Oryzias latipes: one gene and its partner. The protein of the gene in region 1 binds, or shares a complex with, the protein of each later gene. Links are inferred from orthologs where the notes say so. Each region holds a gene or a part of one and is shown in the gene's direction. Other genes may lie near its edges.

The links.
Region 2: the proteins of delta-type opioid receptor (region 1) and pomc are in contact, whole or in part, in a cryo-EM structure (PDB 8F7Q), measured with the Homo sapiens proteins. The link is inferred for Oryzias latipes from reciprocal best matches to the Homo sapiens genes OPRM1 and POMC. Residues at the interface, in NP_000905.3 of Homo sapiens: Ser66, Met67, Ala70, Ile71, Met74, Gln126, Asn129, Tyr130, Leu131, Met132, Gly133, Trp135, Val145, Ile146, Asp149, Tyr150, Met153, Arg213, Ile217, Asp218, Cys219, Thr220, Glu231, Lys235, Val238, Ile298, Val302, Lys305, Trp320, Ile324; in NP_000930.1 of Homo sapiens: Tyr237, Gly238, Gly239, Phe240, Met241, Thr242, Ser243, Glu244, Lys245, Thr248, Pro249, Leu250, Val251, Leu253.

Annotation. Positions count from the first base shown.
Region 1 is NC_019873.2:17,195,439-17,199,260, forward strand, and holds part of delta-type opioid receptor, read left to right. Parts: intron 1-3,181; coding exon 3,182-3,531; intron 3,532-3,822. UniProt on the Homo sapiens protein: Receptor for endogenous opioids such as beta-endorphin and endomorphin. Receptor for natural and synthetic opioids including morphine, heroin, DAMGO, fentanyl, etorphine, buprenorphin and methadone.
Region 2 is NC_019860.2:10,968,001-10,972,282, forward strand, and holds pomc (pro-opiomelanocortin), read left to right. Parts: upstream 1-1,759; 5' UTR 1,760-1,880; intron 1,881-2,633; 5' UTR 2,634-2,636; coding exon 2,637-2,753; intron 2,754-3,087; coding exon 3,088-3,609; 3' UTR 3,610-3,744; downstream 3,745-4,282.

The DNA of each region.
Region 1 (3,822 bases):
TGTCCCGTCCCGCCCCAGAGCCAGGGAAGGGCCGATCCCAGCCCCAGGTGTAGACGGGAAGCCCATCCAGCGCCGCTGGGCCCCCCCCCCGAGCAGCGCCCCCCGCCAACCCCCCCCAGCACAGGCAAAGGGACCACCCCCCCAAGCCAAGCCAGACCACCACCCCACCCCCCCACCACGCACCCCCACACCCAAGCCCAGAGGACCACGCAGCGCCCCAGGCCGCCCCACCCAGGCGCCGGACCCGACCCCCCGACCAACGGAGCCCCCACCACCCCCGGCCAGGCACCGGAGGCCCCGACCCCCACCCCGGCCCACGGCAGAAGGGCAAGGAGCAGCGACGACCATGCCCCCCCCACCCCCTAAGTCACGGAGTTAGCTATGGGAGACCAGAGAGACCGAATTCTTTCCAAGTTACTTGAACTTTGGGCTGACATTTTTTCCAAGCTGATATGATCAAGCAGCAGATTTCTGTGTTGACTTATATTTATATTTTTTTTGCTTTTCCAATTTATTAAAATAGTTTTTTTAGCAATGCAAAGAGTTATGAAAATGATAGAGCCTAATCCTCCTTCTACATCGATGGCACTCATGTCACCAAGCACACAAAGTGACGGTGAAGCTGTGATTGAAACCTTAAGCCAGACTGATAGATCGGCACATACCTGCTGCCAGAGAGCCTGGACAGGCGTGCAGAACCATAGTGCATGCATGTAATTGTCGGGTAGATTACTGTCACAGTGCTGACAAATGTCTGAGTTACTGAGACACATCTTGAACATCCTCTGTCCAGTGTAGTAAATTCTGTGAAGAGTTTTGAAATGGATTAGCTGCAGATTTGGATTTTTTGTCATTTTAAAGGTGTTTAGACAAAGTTCTGACCAAAAACTTTCATCTGTGCTGATGCTCAAATCCGCATCCCATTTTGTTGTCGGAAGTGAAATATTGTTATCTAAATTACATAAAAGTTTGTATATTTTGGAGAGAGTTTTATTCATTGAGAAATTGATCAGAGTGGTAACTACATCTGGTAGCTTTAAATCGTTGTCTCTGTATTTAAACTTTTTAGTAATAATTGATTTAAGTTGCTGATATTCCAAGAAGTTATATATTCCATGTTTGTCTTGAAGTTCCTGGGGAGTTATGAATCTTCTATCAATAATTATGTGCTCTAGTTGTTTTATGCCCCCTGCTTGCCAAGCTGGGAAGTGGATAATTTTTTTGTTTATGAGGATGTCTGGGTTGTTCCAGATGGGTGTCATTTTGCACGGTTGAATTGATGATTTTGATATTTTGAGAAATTCCCACCAGGCTGTTAAAGTGGCATTTATATTAATACTTTTGAAACAATCCTGTTTTTTAACTATTTGACTAATAAATGGAAGATCTGACAGGTTGATCTTTCCACATAACGCCTGTTCCAAGTCTAACCATGAGTTGGTTTCTGGATTATTTTTTAACCATTTTAAGATGTATTGTAATCTATTTGCAAGAAAGTAATTGTGGAAGTTAGGTAATTCTAATCCTCCACAGCTTTTTGCAGATTTTAAAGTTTTTAAACTAATTCTTGCAGGTTTATTGTTCCATAGAAAGCTTGATATGGATGAGTCTAATGTTTTGAACCATTTTAGTGGCGGTTGTGTGGGAATCATTGAGAAGAGATAATTAACTTTGGGTAAGATTTTCATTTTAACCGTGGCTACCTTGCCCATAAGGGACAAAGGCAGGTTGGTCCAGCGTGTTAGATCGTCCTGTTTGTTTTTCAGTAATGGGGTGTAGTTTAGCAGTACCAGTTCTGATATTTTGGGGGAAAAATAAATACCTAGATATTTTATATTGCCTGATTTAACTGGTCAATGTTTAATCTAAATCTATTTTGAATAAACATTTTAGCTGGGTACATTTATTTATAGCAATTTATAAATGGCTTGTAAAGACCCCCCCCCCCATATTTGGTTACGCTTTAGATTGGGGGGGGCTGCAAAACACTCAATAAACTGTTAATAAGAACACTGTTAATATATTTATTAATCCCATACAAGCAATTTATAAATAGCTTGTGAATAAGATTAACAAATGCTAATAAATGTCTTTATAAGCAGCCTAATACCACATTACTCATACTGCTTAATGTCTTATAAGTAGTTTATTAAGGAATATTTTAATGTATTTATAAACAGCTTATTTAAACTTGTAAGTCAGTTGTAAGACATTTACAAATGCTAATTAATGTTCTTATAAGCAGCTTACTAAAACATTACTAGTGCTTGTTAATAGTTTATTAAGGACTCTTATCATAAAGCGTTACCGTAACTGTGATTGTGGTATAAAAAAGCCTTTTACCACAATCACAGGAAAGCATCATAACACTGGTGTTTATCAGAAAATACAAAGGTGAAACATGTTATGGTGTGTGTGTTTTTTCTGAGGTGTTGATCAGGTGACGGTAACATCTGAATTTAGATACAGAAATGGTGAAACTGAAAAGTTTAACAGAATTTGCTCAGTATGTTCAACAAATGGGATATGTGTTCCCTCGCTGAACCACAAACGGACTAAATCTAGCGTTCCAACCTCTACTGAGCCCCAAAAGATCACAAGTTTTTTTTTTTTTTTTTTTAAACTGCTTGTTTTCTTTGTCATTTAGGTCTATAATGTGCAAAAAGCATTTTATATATTTATATATATATATATATATATATATATATATATATATATATATATATATATATATAAATATAAGTATAATGGAGCCCGTGTCCTGACATTAAAAAATTAAAATATATCTCGTTCCCACAGATTAATATCTTGTTTGCACGAAATAATATTCCGTTCCACAAGATAATATTCCGTTCCCTCGAAATAATTAATCCGTGCAAATACAATAATTATTCACATCATAAGTCATTCATAAACACCGATATGCTCTCCGTTCGGCCGCAAAAGCGATAAATTCCTTCATGGATCACGCATACCCAAGATGCATTTCGACCAGCCAATCATTGGTCTTGTTGTTACAACTCAGTTACAGGGACACGGTGATTGGTCGATATACATTCTGTTTTTATATACTTTTTTGAAGAAACTTAAATGAAAAAGGTGATTAAATGTATAACTGAGCCCAAAACAGCCTTTTTAAGCTCTGCTGTCTATAAAAATTCTATGCTGCTCTCTGCTACAGGTACACCAAAATGAAGACAGCCACAAACATCTACATCTTCAACCTCGCTCTGGCAGATGCCTTGGTCACCAGCACCCTGCCGTTCCAGAGCGTCAACTACCTGATGGGGTCTTGGCCATTTGGGGACCTGCTCTGCAAGATGGTGATGTCCATCGACTACTACAACATGTTCACCTCCATCTTCACCCTCACAACCATGAGCATCGACCGCTACATCGCTGTTTGCCACCCTGTGAAAGCGCTGGACTTCAGGACGCCTCGCAATGCCAAGATTGTCAACATCTGCAACTGGATTCTGTCCTCCGCCATCGGTCTGCCGGTCATGTTCATGGCTGCTACAGCCAAAAGCCGTAAGCACGAGCCCACCCGCACTGTGGAACCGAGACCACAGCTTTGTGTGTCTTTATGTTTAAAATACTCTGTTTCTGAAAAGCACAGGTCTGCACAAGCAGTCAGAATACAAGGCAGATCTTCTCAGAAGTGAAAATTTTTATAGAAAAAAAAAAGAAATCTCTCTTAAAATCTATTTAATACTCAAATAGTGAATAATAGCCATATCTAAGTAATAACCAACTGTCAGTGCATGTGTAAAAACAGCTTTTAAACGATAAAAAAAGGATTTGTTTCTTTTCCTTTGAATA
Region 2 (4,282 bases), on another chromosome or scaffold:
AAATCCAGGACTCGTGCTGGTTTTCCAGAAAACTGGCTTTATCTATTACCTGGGGCAGGTGGGTTTAGCCAATAAGGTTCAATGGCAGGTTGATTGGAAAACATGTAGGACACCGGCCCTTGAGTCCTGGATTGGGGCACCCCTGCAACCCCTGAGGTGAGAGCATGGCTGCTTTCACCCCAGCATTTCCTTTCACGCTTGCTGACCCTGTTTTCTCACACATCATATCTGAAACCTTCCCCTTCAATAGTTCCACCCTGCTTGCACACGCCTCTTTAGCCTTTCCTCAACGGAAGTTGCTCTAACTGTTGTTCCTAAGTCTTTAAAGCCCTCCACCTTCTCCACCTCTTGAGTTCCTGTCATTTACACACAGATGCTGCAGCTGACCTCTCTAGATGGTTCTCCACCTGCTTTCTTTTTTTTATTTCTTTCTTTTTTTTTATTTGTCCTGTCCTGGGATTAGGAATCTTCTGACAATAAAATCAACAAATCTAAAAGGGGCGGGCGGGGAGGAGTGAATTTCTAATAAACTCTTGCTGCTCTGCATAATCGATGTCTTAAAAATGACAGATTTTTAGATTTTGCCTAAAAACACCATCATTTTAATTGAAAGACCACAGGGAACGCTTTTATAATAGATCCAAAGATGATCATCCATCCATCCAACCATTTCCTCAACCTGCCTCATTCCTTTTGGGGTCACAGCGTTGCTGGAAACTGTCTCAGGTACTGTTGGATGAAGGCGGGGTACACCTTGGACAGGGTGCCTGTCTGTCGCACTCACACTCACACACCTAGAGACCTAGGGACACTTTAGAGTAACCAATCAATCTATAAAGCATGTGTTTGGAGTCTGGAGTGCCCAGAGATTGATCCATCTTTTCAATATTTTTTCAAACATTCAGGACCACTTTACAAAATTTATCTAAATGTGACTTTCTCAGTTGAATGAAGATTAAATAAAAATATCCTTCTGCAGCCATGTCCATGGACGTTGGCTACAGTGCTGCTGACCTTAAACTCACAGTATATTTAATAAGCTTAAGTAACAGGAACATCAAGCTGTTTGGAGATGATCTGTTTTATTAACAGAAGGGGAGCAGCCATGCATCTACATGTTTTTCACTGATTATAAGGAGCTGTGGGAAGCGTGTCCTGGATGGAAAATGTGGCTGCTCTTCATCAGCTGCTCCATGAAATCAGATGAACTCTCCACTGATTCAGCATTAGGGCCACCCGGACCCTGGACAAAGAGATGCCGCTCAGCGCAGCTTTGTGGGTGTGTGACTGTACACCCTGACCCGCGACTTTGACGAAATCCCACCTGGGTGTTAAGCTGCAGAAGCTGCTGCCTGACATTTCACAGACAACAGCAGCGGCGAGGCGCTTTCACGCAGATTTAAACTGATGAGTTTTAGCTGCTGTAGCTTAGATGTGTTTGTTTTCTGTTCCATTTGTGCTTTTTACAATTAAAAGTGACCAAAAAATCTGTGATGTTAAAGACAAACATAAATTCTGAAAACATTTGTTTTGTCTAAAAATCGAGAAAACAAAATAGAAAAAAAAAATGAAGGCAGGTCTTCATGTGTGTGTGCTTGTATCCGTGTGTGTGCAGTGAATGGACGAGGGTGGATCTGGGACATTTTTTATTGATTTTTTGTGTGCGTTTTTGACCGCAAACCCATGCACACGTCATCTGTGTATGCGTGTGTGTGTTCACGCATGTGTGTGCGTCCTTGGTCAGCAGAATATAAAAGTCCAACTCTGCTCGAAGCATCAGAGCAGAAGAGGATCAAGGGAAATCTTCATCCGGCGGCTAAACAAAACAGAAAGCAGCAGCAATAAGAGGAAGAGGAGAGACAAAGAAACTATAAGGAGGGGTGAGAATATTTTATTGTACTTTATAATGAAAATGTAAAAAAAAGTTGTATTTTTAAAGTTTTACAGCCTTTTTACTTCACTTAATTACTAAATTACTAATAATTTTTAACTAACAGTTTCTAAATCAGAGCAGATTTTAAAAAAAAAATTAAGACCAGTGTTAAATATTCGAGGTTAAGAAAACAAAGTGCTTAATATATGAAACTTAAATAAATATTTTATTTTTATTTGTTAATTCTCCAATCTGATCTCCAAAATACATATATTAATACAATAATTTTGCATCATCTAATAATATTATTAAGGTAAAATGGTGAAATGTAAATTTCTTAACATGCTTGTTTTAGGTCTTTTAAAAAGTTTAAATATTTGATTTTAGATATACTTTTCTTAATTTTTGTGACAACGTGTAACCTTTGTGATTGAATAAATAAAAAAAAGGTTAAAAAAATGATATAACCGGTGCCAAAACAAGGTGCTAAAATAATATATCAATGTTTTGATTTTGTTTTTATTCAGTCAGATTTGTGGCCACCACTGTTTTTTTAACATATATTAAAAACAAAGATGTGTTTTTTTTCTTGTCAAATTACTTCCAAAACCTGTGGTTTTTACTTAAAAAATGAAATGTAAACAATAAAAGAAGAGTATAATTGAAAAAAAAATTAACCCCAAAAGATAACTAATCTACATAAAAATTGATTTTAAAACTCCAAAACTGAGTGGGATTGTGTTTTTTTTTTGCTTCACAGAGGATGTATACCGTTTGGTTGCTGGTGGCCGTGGTGGTTGTCGGTGGGGCTGAAGGAGCAGTCGGCCAATGCTGGAAGCACTCCAGCTGCCAGGAGCTGGACTCTGAGAGCAGCATGACGGTACAGAAGACGGTCAAAGCAACAATAAGCAGAATCTGCATTTCCTGATCATTTTCATCCACAGTTCAGCTGTTTTGTTGCTTCAAATGGAGTCAAAACAGAATTTTTTGACTCGACTTCTCTGTTGGTTAATTCTTCCTACATTTACCAATAATTCAGATTTAAGGGGTTTGAGAATCTGTAAAATAAAGTGCAAATTTTGACCCAAAAATAGGTTTTTCTTTAGGAAAATGTGATAAGCACTTTAAACTCAACATCCACATCTCCCATTACAAAAACACATCTGCTGTTTTAACACCTTCAGTTGACTGTCAATCTCATCTTTTTACTCCAGGAGTGCCTCCAGCTCTGCCGCTCTGACCTCACCGCCGAGACCCCCCTCATCCCAGGCAGCTCCCACCTCCAGCCTCCACCTCCCTCAGATCCCTTCTCTTTCATCTCTCCATCCCCTCAAACCAAACGCTCCTACTCCATGGAGCACTTCCGATGGGGCAAGCCCGTCGGGCGCAAACGTCGCCCCGTCAAGGTCTACACCCCAAACGGAGTGGAGGAGGAGTCCTCTGAGGTTTTCCCAGGTGAGATGAGGAGGCGGGAGTTGGCCAATGAGCTGCTGGCGGCTGCAGCGGAGGAGGAGGAGAGGGCTATGGAGGAGGTGGAGGAGGAGGAGGAGCGTCAGCATCTCCTGGCTGGCCTGCAGGAGAAGAAGGATGGCTCCTACAAGATGAAGCATTTCCGCTGGAGCGGCCCTCCCGCCAGTAAACGCTATGGCGGCTTCATGAAGAGCTGGGAGGAGGATCGCCAGAAACCACTGGTGACGCTCTTCAAGAACATCATCAACAAGGACGAGCAGCAGTGAGATTCCAGAAAAAAAGAAAAGAAAAAGGAGAAGTCAAAACACAAAAGGGGGGGGGGGATTTGCCATAAATAATCAGCAGGCAGCAAAGAGTTCTCATTGGTTCTTTTGTTCCCAATAAAAGACTCTGAAACTGCAGTGTTTTGGCGACAGAATTGTGAGGATTTTTACTGTGTTGTAAATAATAATATTCTTTAAATGAAAAGAGATTTATTTGCAAGCAATGACGAACGGTGTTTGTCTTTTTCTCTACATCCGACATCAGCTTAAAGTCCCACTCCAATCATCCTATGATCTATGTTAAAGCAGTGGTCTTTAAACTATGATTATGATTTTTTTCCAGTAAAATCTCTAAAATCTGGGCCGTTTACCAAGACAGAGTTTCTGCAGAAGCTCATCAGAAATTGACCTCTGAGTTGTGGGTGGGGCCATTGGCATGGAGTAAGCTCTACCACACTCCCCGTCATCCTTCTTGTTTACACTCTCTCCCACTAGCTTACAGCCCCTCACAACCCCAACCTAACATTTGCGGTGCAGTTTTGAGCCAGATGCCAGCTTGGAAGAAGAAGCAAAAATGTACTATATTTCCCGCACTAAACGGGGGCACCAGATCATAAGGTGCACCCTATAGCACATTCTTAAACTCACACTATATCGAGAAAGTATTGGCTCACCC